2 linked regions of the Arabidopsis thaliana genome follow. The protein of the gene in region 1 interacts with the protein of each later gene in a pairwise test. Each region holds a gene or a part of one and is shown in the gene's direction. Other genes may lie near its edges.

Evidence for each region.
Region 2: the proteins of SLAH3 (region 1) and CPK20 interact in a protein complementation assay, tested with the Arabidopsis thaliana proteins (one study listed by BioGRID).

Annotation. Positions count from the first base shown.
Region 1 is NC_003076.8:8,117,796-8,124,822, reverse strand, and holds SLAH3 (SLAC1 homologue 3), read left to right. Parts: upstream 1-1,908; 5' UTR 1,909-2,195; intron 2,196-3,806; 5' UTR 3,807-3,829; coding exon 3,830-4,000; intron 4,001-4,109; coding exon 4,110-4,655; intron 4,656-4,841; coding exon 4,842-5,612; intron 5,613-5,701; coding exon 5,702-5,733; coding exon of another isoform or gene 5,734-5,737; exon of another isoform or gene 5,738-5,817; coding exon 5,818-6,205; 3' UTR 6,206-6,506; downstream 6,507-7,027. UniProt on the Arabidopsis thaliana protein: Slow, weak voltage-dependent S-type anion efflux channel involved in maintenance of anion homeostasis. Binds to the highly selective inward-rectifying potassium channel KAT1 and inhibits its activity.
Region 2 is NC_003071.7:16,244,374-16,249,851, reverse strand, and holds CPK20 (calcium-dependent protein kinase 20), read left to right. Parts: upstream 1-1,996; 5' UTR 1,997-2,368; coding exon 2,369-3,233; intron 3,234-3,313; coding exon 3,314-3,457; intron 3,458-3,536; coding exon 3,537-3,689; intron 3,690-3,777; coding exon 3,778-3,893; intron 3,894-3,974; coding exon 3,975-4,142; intron 4,143-4,236; coding exon 4,237-4,461; intron 4,462-4,557; coding exon 4,558-4,638; 3' UTR 4,639-4,946; downstream 4,947-5,478. Other genes in the region: AT2G38920 (SPX (SYG1/Pho81/XPR1) domain-containing protein / zinc finger (C3HC4-type RING finger) protein-like protein), read left to right, coding at 42-286, 382-633, 729-866, 967-1,025, 1,327-1,432; AT2G38905 (Low temperature and salt responsive protein family), read left to right, coding at 5,380-5,460.

The DNA of each region.
Region 1 (7,027 bases):
AACCTAAGTTTTGTCCGCTCTAAAGACAAAACTCATGTACAGCGCATGTAGACAGGAACCAAAAACTATTATATTTATGATTAACTCACTAAGATATAATATATTCATATAACTGGACAAATAAAGAAAAATCAATTCGGTGACAGCTAAAATCCTAATTCAAACAATCAACCAAAAACGTACCTAACGACACAATCTATGCGAAGAAGTTTTGTGAACCAACTTGGTTTCTTCCTCTTTCCTATTTCTTTGTGTAATTTACCCCAAAAAATGCGGATTACTCGTTTTGTGTACTCGATTCCTTAAAAACAGTTTTGTTGTATTTTTCCATCCCACAATTTGGCTATACACCTAATTAATTAGCCCATAATTCTGTTATAGATAACTTGTTGGCAAATGATTTTTAATTATATTATATACCCGAGCCAAAAAAAAAAAAAAAAAAACAGATATCAAAAACATCGCCAACTCAGATTCCAAAAATTTAAACGTTATGAAAAGATAGAATCCATATAAGAGAAATAGACGTGAAATTTTTTGAATTTATGAATAGAAAAACAATAAGGTGGTAAAAACAAAATTGTAAAACCATATTTCTAGGAATAAATACATTACCTTGTGAAAACGAAAAATTAGATTTTTGGATACTGGATAACCAAAGTCCAAAACTTAAAGTACATTGCTTTGCGATATCAGTCTTATGTAGGAATTATTTCTGTAGGTTCAGTTCAAGTAGCCTCCCAATAATACGCCATCTAAAGCATCCATGCTGGTTAAATTGCTGCAATAATGACTAACTTTGCATGCTATGTCCATCTCCATTGTCAACTTTTTTCTATGTGGCATGATGCAAATTATCTTTTTTGCACTTAAGTAATTTTTGGAGATGTCTGATAGACACGGATATGGAGAACTGTTTATAAAAAAGTGCATGCGGATCTAAAATCTATTTGTCGCATTGTAATTGGTAAATATACTTCGTAGCTGAATTTACTCCCAAACAAACATATTGTATTGTTCTTCCTTCCAGTAAAACTTGACTATATTTCTAAAACATTAACAAAAAACGAATAAATAACAAAAAAGCTCATCATTTATATGATAAAAAAAAACGTTATATTTATTATGAAAAGATTTAAAAGCTTATCATTTATGTAATTATATTTAACAAAGAAAAAAAATTAGAAAAATTATCAAACAAACCAAGACTCAAAGTTATTTATTTATTTTTCTTTTGCAAAATAATATTTTATGCATTTGTTAAATGTTAAAAAACCCAAAAAAAACTTCAACTAATTTTTATTTGGACGTTTAATACCCAATTGTTTTTGGTTGGAAAGTAAATACACGAAGTAATAAAACCGTGCAATTTAATACACAAACAAGTAATTGTTGTTATTTTCATACTCACGATCTCACAATAAAAATTAATATCATATTATCATAAACTAAAATATTAATAAAATTAATTTTTATTCAAAATTATAAAATTAATATCATATTATCAAAAAAAAAATAGTTAATTGAGATGGTAAGGATAAATTGCAATTTTATTTTTGTTGTGAGATCGTGAGTATGAAAATAACAACAATTAATTATTTGTGTATTAAATTGTACGATTTTATTATTTCGTGTATTTATCTTCCAACAAAAAATAATTGGGTATTAAACGTCCAAATAAAAATTAATTGAGATCTTTTTTGGGTTTTTTCCCTTTGTTAAATACCATATTAACTTCATTTTCATAAATATATTTTAAAAATTTCCTTGTTTTTTGGCCGTTTCGTATAATGTGGTCCACCACCTATTGACCAATGCTTAAAAAAACTAAATAATTGTGACAAAAAATAATAAAAAGAACAAAAAATTACTTGAGATTGTCAATGACGTGAACCATGACTAGTTGATCAACAAGAAGACGGCCACGTTGAAAGCTTTGAATTACAGCTATACATTTAACAAATACATACACTATCATGTTTCCGTAACTGTACTTACGTGAACACTTATTTATAGTACAAAGACGTGTTTTGTTTTCGCCCAAACCAACTCGCTTTTTTTCTATTTTCTCCTAATTCGTCTTCGCTTCTTTCCCTACCAAAACACAATTCTTATCTCTACAAGAATAAGAGAAGATCTGTAGATTTTAAACACCATTTCTGATTTCTACGGCTGCAAAATTTCAAAATCGTCAGGTTAGTGTTTTATTCCATTTCTCCATTTTTTTGTTTTTGGATTCGTAGTTAACAAAGTTCATTACATCACAAACAACATTTTTGTGAATCCTTTCTTGAGAACATGCATAGGCTACATGCGATTCTTGATTTTCTTTTATATGACCTTAGGGTTCTTATTACGAACTAATAAATTTATTAATTGATTTTTCTTTTCTTTTTTTTTTCTCCTCGTTCTTTCTTTCTTAAACCCAAATTGATTCCAGAAACCAAAAATTACCTTACTAAACCCCAAATGCCAATTTAGCTGTGAACCAATGTGATGTAAAATTTACAAAGATTCCTGGTTTACTAATACTAGTACATGTATGTGATTTTTATATGTTCAAACCGGTTTTCACAAGCGATGGAACATGAACAATAGCGTTTAAACGCGTAAATATTCATAAGCGTTGTTGGCCGGTCGAGCCATAACTTTGAAGTGGACCCGATGAGTTGATGGGCACATAGCACCACACCATCCATTTAAGATCTTTTGCTATTTTGTTTTTTTCTTCTAAAGTTTTTTTCTTGTACAGCCAAAAAGAAAGGAAAAAGAAATATATATATATATATATAATTTTATTTCTGTTGTTAATAGGAGTTTTTGTTTCGTTAATTAAAACCAATTTAGTTAGCTTTTTATATATTTAATTTCCTAATTATGGGAGTCTTGATTTTACCTACGACTTTTTGAAACAGCGATGTTTTAGATTGGTTTAGCTTTGATCATTGACGTGGAACATCGCAATAAAGGGTTTATTAATGCAGTTCTAAAATTACAGTTTTGTTGGTTTTCTAAAATTATAGTTTCTCTTAAACAAATATTCAAAGAATTTACTCCACTCAAAGTCAGAAACCAAAAGGAAAGCTTAAAATTCGAAAACGAAAAAAATAGAGAAAACTGTATTTATTCTATTCTTTGTGCTTTCTTGTTTTTCTATTTATGATTGTTGTTTGATTTGAGGAGAATTCTCAAAGGCGCCCAAATGCACACTAGTATTTATAGGTTTTAAGTGCAATTGTTTTGGATAAACAAACAATAGTGGCCTTCTTTTTTCTTTCTAGCCGATAACATGCATCATTTTCCAATAAATATAGGGTAAGTGACTAAGTATAGTCTAATTCTATACAGCTGGGAAACCAGCTTAGTGGCAACACCACTAGACTTTGCAAAATGTATATTAGGTATGATGTTTAAATGTGGAGAATTTAGGTCAGATTTATTTAATTATCGGCCTAATTAAACCACTAGATTTTATTAGTTTATGATTTTAGAAAATATAAATCCCAAATTCATTTTCCAAACCATGTTATAGAGCAATTGCGAAGGGAATAGGTAAAATTCTAATGAATCAAGAACTCGCTAGAAGTCCTTTTACTGTGAATAATATATATTTTGTTTTCCTTCGCATATGCTTTCAACAATCTAAAAAAATTATATATTGACTTCAAGGGCTATACTCATCAATCTTTTGTGTTAATGATGAATCAATGATACAAGTCAAGTTAGAATATTAATTAACTATAGATTAAAAAGAAAATTCAATTTTATAGGTGTCAATTAATACGTAAACAATTTGGATGTTACAGAGGAAATTAAAAAGAAGAAAAAAATGGAGGAGAAACCAAACTATGTGATACAAGTAGAAGAAGAGCTTCCAACTTTACTGAGAAAAGCCACAACAGAAGAAATGGTTGGCTTTGACAATTACAAAGAGAATGGTCATCCTTTTCCTCACTCAATCAGTCGTTTTCATCCATCGCATGCCTCCACGACTACTTTGGTATGTTACATATTTTATTTATCACTTTCCACACTCGCAAAAATTAGGTTATAAACTTATTATATAACTAATTCCGAGACAATTATGTTACATATATTTATATGTACAGAATGGTCAAGAAACATCAAGATCAATAGACACAATGGAAGCTCATCATCATAACTACAATGAGACAACACCATGGACTCATCAAAGAAAACCATCAATTTCAATGCCAACTTCACCAAATGTTCTCATGATCTCCGACCCGACAACATCTTTGTCTTCCGAAAACCACAAGAACAGTGGGTCGACTGGCAAATCCGTCAAGTTTCTCTCTCAGCCGATGACCAAAGTCTCATCTCTCTACATAGAAAGCGGTAATGGTGATGATGATCGTCGTCAAAGCCATGATAATCATCATCATCATCTTCATCGACAACATCAGAGTGGTCATCATCAAAATCAAAATCAGGCTGCGAACAAGCTTAAAGACAACAGGTACAACTCGTTCAAGACTTGGTCGGGGAAACTTGAGAGACAATTCACAAGAAAACCAGCTTCTGTTGAACCGGAGGCACCAAACCGGAATAACCAAAATTTGAATACCAATGAAGCCATGCCTGTGGACCGTTACTATGACGCCTTAGAAGGTCCTGAATTAGAGACCCTACGGGTACGTACCTACGTTTTTTTTGTATCTTTTACATTTGAATTGCATTCATGTGGTAAATTGTTTTAATGACCTTTTTGCGAAAATATATCATTACTAGAAGTCAGAAGTGACACGTTTTATAACTCTCTTTTATTAACGAGTGACATGTTTCAATTATAACTCTCTTTTGTTTTTCCTACGTCGCAGCCTCAAGAAGAGATCGTTCTACCAAATGATAAAAAGTGGCCGTTTCTTCTCCGTTACCCCATTTCCACCTTCGGTATGTGCCTAGGAGTGAGCAGCCAAGCCATAATGTGGAAAACCCTAGCCACTGCAGAGCCAACCAAGTTCCTCCACGTACCCCTCTGGATCAACCAGGGTCTATGGTTCATTTCAGTGGCTTTGATCCTCACTATCGCCACCATCTACCTCCTCAAGATCATCCTTTTCTTCGAAGCCGTACGCCGCGAATACTACCATCCAATCAGAATCAACTTCTTCTTTGCTCCTTTCATTTCTTTACTCTTCCTTGCCCTCGGTGTCCCACCTTCCATAATTACAGATTTGCCGCATTTCCTTTGGTACCTCCTCATGTTTCCATTCATCTGTCTTGAGCTTAAGATCTACGGTCAGTGGATGTCCGGTGGTCAACGACGGCTCTCCCGGGTCGCCAACCCGACCAACCATCTCTCGGTCGTTGGGAACTTTGTTGGGGCCTTGCTTGGTGCGTCCATGGGGCTTAGAGAAGGCCCTATATTCTTCTATGCTGTTGGGATGGCTCATTACTTGGTTCTGTTCGTGACTCTCTACCAAAGGCTACCGACCAACGAGACTTTGCCTAAAGATCTTCATCCTGTCTTCTTCCTCTTCGTTGCGGCTCCAAGTGTTGCTTCCATGGCTTGGGCTAAGGTCACTGGCTCCTTCGATTATGGCTCCAAAGTTTGTTACTTTATCGCCATTTTCCTCTATTTCTCATTGGTACGTTTTACATATAACTTAGCTGTATATATATTCCTTCTTCAGAAAAGTATTTACTAATACAAATTTTCCCTTTCTTTGATTTATAGGCTGTTCGGATCAATTTCTTCAGGGGAATCAAGTAAGATTAAGAAAATTACTTTTATTACTGTTTGATTTTTAGTTATTCGCTAGCTCAACTTTCTCACACTTTTTTTTCTCATAGATTTTCGCTGTCCTGGTGGGCGTACACCTTTCCGATGACCGGAGCTGCAATTGCTACCATCAGGTACGCAACAGTGGTTAAGAGCACTATGACTCAAATCATGTGTGTGGTCCTATGTGCCATTGCAACGTTAGTCGTGTTCGCACTGCTCGTGACCACCATTATCCACGCCTTTGTCCTCCGAGATCTTTTTCCCAATGACCTCGCCATAGCCATCAGCAACCGTCCGAGACCCAAACAGAATAGCCAACACCGGTGGCTTGACCAACTGAGAAACGTAAGCTCAGAGAACATCGAGAACTACTTGAAATTCACAGACTCCGACAGCAGTCAGAGTAATGATGTAGAAGCTTGCAACGGCAAAACTCAAGAGAGTGATTCATCATAAATTGGAGAATCACGAAAAAAGTTTTCATAACCCCTAATACAGAGTCGTATCCGAAGTTTTGGTTTTGGTTTGTTGTCAGTGTCTCTGACACAAGTGAGGAACCTAGTAACGTAATTGTTGCTGTGGTTCTAATGATCATGTGTTTAAAGCAGTATTAAGTAAACGGGAGGGGTTGTCTACAATGGTGAACCAATCCAAACGACCCAGTATCTCTTAAACCAGAACTGTTAGCAGTTATCATAATACTTCAAAGAGCATGTATACTTGTTTTGTTCCAATAAATAAAAAGTTTTGAGGGGTTATCACTGTATAAATAGCATCAGAATTATGATACGCGATCATGTTGGTTCTACTATCAGCTAAGCCCTCTAAGAGCTTCAGTATCACATAATCATTTCTATTTCGGGAACTTAATCGACACCGCCATATCGATAAATCAAGAAGGTAGAGAATCAAATGGCATAATACCAAGCTAGACAGCACTAGTACTCAAGCCTACATAGTACAAAAGGGCCAGCAAAATCATCACCAAACCAGTAGCTACCGAATTCATACTCGCGAAAAGTTCTGATAAGATCAGCTAAGCTATTGAAGTTCTCATCATAACGATTTGACATAAGAACTTGAGATATATTGGAAACTCTCAATTTTAACATAAACAGATTACAGAAACAGAAATCAAGAACCTCAAGAACAAAAGGCATAAGAATCAGAGCTTGAACTCAGCAACAAACTAGCAGTAGAATTCCACATTGTCCTAGGAACAAATCTAAATTCTCAAAGCAAAAGAGACAAAATCTTCAAAAATCTCTAGCTCCTGTA
Region 2 (5,478 bases), on another chromosome or scaffold:
TTAGGTGGTTGATGTAAAAGATGATGTTAATTACAATGCAGGGTGTGATCAGATGTTCTTCGAGGAGCTGATGAAAGAAGCTACTGACATAGCGGGATTTTTCAGGTCAAGAGTGAGGCATCTTCTCCATCTTCATGTAGCCACTGGGATGCAGAGATACATGATTCGCCTACGCAGATGCTTCACTGACGAAAAACAAGCTTTAGTCCAAGAGGGCCAAATCTTGATTCAATACATCACCATGAATGCAATTGCTATCCGTAAAATCCTCAAGAAATATGACAAGGTTAGAGATTATGGCAAAGATAATAATTCATTTTAAAATAAGAAGATGTGACTTCATTTGTTGTGAGAAAGTAAACTGCTTAAAAATGCTTTCAGGTGCATAGCTCAGAGAATGGGAAGAATTTCAAGTTGAAAATGCGAGCGGAGCGCATAGAGCTCTTGCACTCACCATGGCTCATAGAACTTGGAGCCTTTTATCTCAACTCTGGGCTAGATAATGTTGGAAACTTCAAGAATTCGTTTGGCCGTGTCGCTTGTGAAAATCTCAACGAAGATCAACCAGTGCTAAAACTCATGCTGCCTAACTCAATAGAGCTGGAGTATGATCTAACTTGTGCAATCTGCCTCGTAATAAAAAATCTCTTTGCATTTTTTCACAAATAAAATGTAGTTTGCATATCTGGAGGTGAAAATAGTAATTTGTTGTGGATAAATTTGGGCAGGAAACGGTATTCAATCCCTATGCTTTAAAGTGCGGTCACATATTTTGTAACTCGTGTGCATGCTCGGCTGCTTCTGTATTGATTTTCCAAGGCATTAAAGCAGCGCCCCGACATTCAAAATGTCCCATCTGCAGAGAGGTTTGTTTAGATTCTTGCAACATTAAACGTGTTCTTCTCTCAACTTTTGTTTCCAATATCTATAATGAGGTCAATCTTGATTTATTCCTTGCGGTATCAGGCTGGAGTTTACGCGGAAGCAGTTCACATGATCGAGCTGCATCTTCTTTTAAAGACACGGTAAGACAAGTCTCAAATTTTAGATTGCACCAAATCAGTATAGATGTGTCCATAAAATTTGAACTGATGATTATTATCATTCATATAGCAAGATGGTGTTTTCATTCGTTAAGTAACTAGAAAATGAAGTTGCGATCGAATTTTTGTTCTTAATTTTTTTTTTAAGTTTTGAAGTCGTTATGAGTGAGCCTTTCATAAACATCTGAATATATTCTTGGGGTGGTATATATTGTTCAAACTGTATTTATATTGCAAGAATTATTAATGTCATATGATGAAAGCATAATATATTTTTTTGTAGAAGCAAAGAATATTGGAAGGAGAGGATGATGAATGAACGGTCTGAGATGGTGAAGCAGTCGAAGATGTTTTGGAATGAACAGACGAAGCATATGATCGGTTATTAATGGTGTATCTCTTCAAGTTCAATTATTAACTTCATCTAAACAAAAGGTGATGACAAAAAAAAAGATATATTACTTTTATTTGTTTCTGCCGTGCCCGAGACATTACAGATTCGAGAGAGAATCATAATTAGGAGAGGTTTATTTTATTTTTTTTCTTTGGTGAGACATAAATCGAGTTGTGTTTAAATACTTTTTTGTGTTGTTTAAGATGTTATTGGATGTTGTTCCTTATTAATTGTTTAAAAGACAAGTCAATAGATTACACACGTTCATCAGTTCATGTCTATATACATCACAAGTTTCAGAATTTTACTTTAGATAAACAAAATTTCTTCTTATTGTATATTTTCTTCAATCAAAATATTTATTAACTAAATCCTTCGCAGTTAATTCCCTACAATATAATCACTCAACGTTATATATTTTTTCAAAAAAATTAATTAATTGTTAAAAATTAAAAGACAAAAAGAAATTGTTTTTGATAAAAGTGAGTCCTAGTCTAAAATTGGGCTCTGTAAAAAAACTTTCCATATTTTCTCGTAAAAATGGACGGCAATGGCATAGTCCTTTCCTTGTTCTCTCTCGTTCCTTCTTCCCCTCCTCTGATCATCAGCTCATCAGATCTTCTCCGAATCAAATCATTTAGCCACATTTTACAATTCCAAGACGTTTCTCGACCATTTTGTATCCGGAAAACGTGCAGAACAAGGTTGCTTGCGAGCGACTTAGGTGGTCAATTCATTATCTCAGGTTTTCACCGAGCTGTGTCGATTTTGAAGACACGGCAATATTCTATATGGATTCATCATTCACGTTGATGACGCTAATGAGTGGTTCGTGTTTTCATTGTCGGAGAAGTAATAGATAATCTCAAACAGAGAGAAGAAAAAAAAAGAAGCAAAATTAGGTTTTGTGATTTTAGGTTAAATTTTTTGAATGGGAAACACATGCGTGGGTCCGAATCTGAACCCTAATGGATTCCTTCAATCCGTTAGTGCTGCCGTGTGGCGGAATCAGAAACCAGACGATAGCATTAAGAGCAGCAAGGACGAGAGCAGTCGAAAAAAGAACGATAAAAGCGTTAATGGCGACGACAGTAACGGTCACGTTTCCTCCACCGTGGATCCAGCACCATCCACGTTGCCAACACCGAGCACACCACCACCTCCGGTGAAAATGGCCAACGAAGAACCACCACCAAAACCTATCACAGAGAACAAAGAAGATCCGAATTCGAAACCGCAGAAGAAAGAAGCGCACATGAAACGTATGGCAAGCGCAGGTCTACAAATAGACTCAGTTCTTGGGAGAAAAACAGAGAATCTCAAAGATATATACAGTGTTGGGAGAAAATTAGGTCAAGGACAATTTGGAACAACGTTTCTTTGCGTGGATAAGAAGACAGGTAAAGAGTTCGCTTGTAAAACGATAGCTAAGAGGAAATTAACAACACCTGAGGATGTTGAAGATGTGAGAAGAGAGATTCAGATAATGCATCATTTGTCTGGTCATCCAAACGTGATTCAGATCGTTGGTGCGTATGAAGATGCAGTAGCTGTTCATGTTGTGATGGAGATTTGTGCAGGTGGAGAGTTATTTGATAGGATTATACAGAGAGGGCATTATACTGAGAAAAAAGCTGCTGAGCTTGCTAGGATCATTGTTGGTGTTATAGAAGCTTGTCATTCTTTAGGTGTAATGCACCGTGATCTTAAGCCTGAGAATTTTTTATTTGTTAGTGGAGATGAAGAAGCTGCTCTCAAGACTATTGATTTTGGCCTCTCTGTTTTCTTTAAACCAGGTATAGTATATGTCCCCAATGCTACTTTTAACAGATCCCATATACAATATGATCTTGACTATATATGTTGGTGATTACAGGAGAAACATTCACTGATGTCGTTGGTAGTCCTTATTATGTGGCACCAGAAGTTTTAAGGAAACATTATAGTCATGAATGTGATGTTTGGAGTGCCGGAGTTATTATTTACATTTTACTAAGTGGCGTCCCTCCGTTTTGGGATGGTAAGAGACAGTTGTTGATTCATTGTTTCAGGTATGTTGAAGTGATAAAGAGACTGATTGGATTGTGCTTATATGTCAGAAACGGAACAGGGGATCTTTGAGCAGGTTTTGAAAGGTGACCTTGATTTTATATCAGAACCATGGCCTAGTGTATCAGAAAGTGCCAAGGATTTGGTCCGTCGGATGCTAATCAGAGACCCTAAGAAGCGAATGACTACTCATGAAGTTCTCTGTTAGTGTTCTTGTTTCCAAATAAGTTATATCTTTTTGATAAGAGTAAGTACTATAAAGATTTGTAAAATGTTGAATTTATATTTTAGGTCATCCATGGGCCAGAGTAGATGGTGTTGCTCTTGATAAACCTCTTGATTCTGCTGTCCTAAGTCGTTTGCAACAATTTTCAGCCATGAACAAGCTCAAGAAAATAGCTATCAAGGTAAACATTTTGAATTGGTTTCTATCATCTATACCAAATTATGTGCAAGATAGAGAGTTATACGTGATGTATTTGATTCAGGTAATAGCAGAAAGCTTGTCAGAGGAAGAAATAGCAGGATTGAAGGAAATGTTCAAGATGATAGATACAGATAATAGTGGACACATCACTCTCGAAGAACTCAAGAAAGGTTTGGACAGAGTTGGTGCTGACCTTAAAGATTCAGAAATACTAGGATTAATGCAAGCAGTAAGTCCATTTTTATACTGAAATCACCTTTTGTTTACTATATGATGTGAGATGTGTGAGATAATAATTTGGAAAAATATGAACATTTGATCAGGCGGATATAGATAACAGTGGGACAATAGACTATGGAGAGTTTATAGCAGCAATGGTGCATTTGAACAAAATAGAGAAAGAAGACCATTTGTTCACAGCATTCTCTTACTTTGACCAAGATGGAAGTGGTTATATAACCAGAGACGAGCTCCAACAAGCTTGCAAGCAATTTGGCTTAGCGGATGTTCATTTAGACGACATTTTACGCGAAGTCGATAAAGACAACGTAACAACTCATTAATATGCAATTGATATGCTTTACCTATAGTTACTTGCAAGAACATTGTTCTTTATAATGATGTTATATGATTGTTTTTGTCAGGATGGAAGAATAGACTACAGCGAGTTTGTGGATATGATGCAAGACACTGGTTTTGGCAAAATGGGTTTAAAGGTGAGTTGAAGAAACAAAACCTCAATGACCCCATTTTTTCCAACACTTATTTTTTCTTTTCTCTTTTTAAGTATAATTTAATCTTTGTGGATATATGTATATGGGCTGCTTACTGCTTAGCATTAGCATTCTTGAGCAGGTTTTTGTCCTCTCTGTTCCACATTTTTTTTGTATTTAAGTTTCTCATGAGTCATGTCCTTTAACTCTCCCTTTACTCAACTAGGAGAAAAAATGTATAGGTTTCACTTTGGAAGATAACCAAAGATTGTAATTTCATTTTTCTTATATGTACTTTTAGTAGGTCAATGTAAAACTCTAGAAATTATTGAAAATGTTTATGTAAATTATTACACAATATCGATTTTAATATGTAAATCTAGTGAGTGATAAATTATTAATCTTTTCACAATAAAACTAAAAATTCTTTGAAAAGAGGGGATGGAGTAAACAGATTCGAATCATAAACATTAAAATGTTATCTTCTTGGCCTCTCAAAAAAGGAGAAATTGAAAATATCTGTGAGATTTCCGTGGAATTAGTGGAAGCAGTTTTGAAGTAAAGCAGTTTGTTTGACGTGTTCATCGCTACGAAAGCGTCTCCACGTGTCACGTGATACACTGCAAGCAGTACACGTGTCAAACACCACTTCTTTTACTTCTTGACCAAACTTTCACACCACTTCCCTTCTGTCCACAAAACCTCTCTTTCTTGTTTCTGTTTCTGTTTCTCTTCTTCTCCAAAACATCAAAAATGGGATCAGAAACTTTCTTGGAAATTATTCTGGCGATTCTTCTACCTCCCGTCGGCGTTTTCCTTCGATATGGTTGTGGGGTAAGCACTAAATTACAT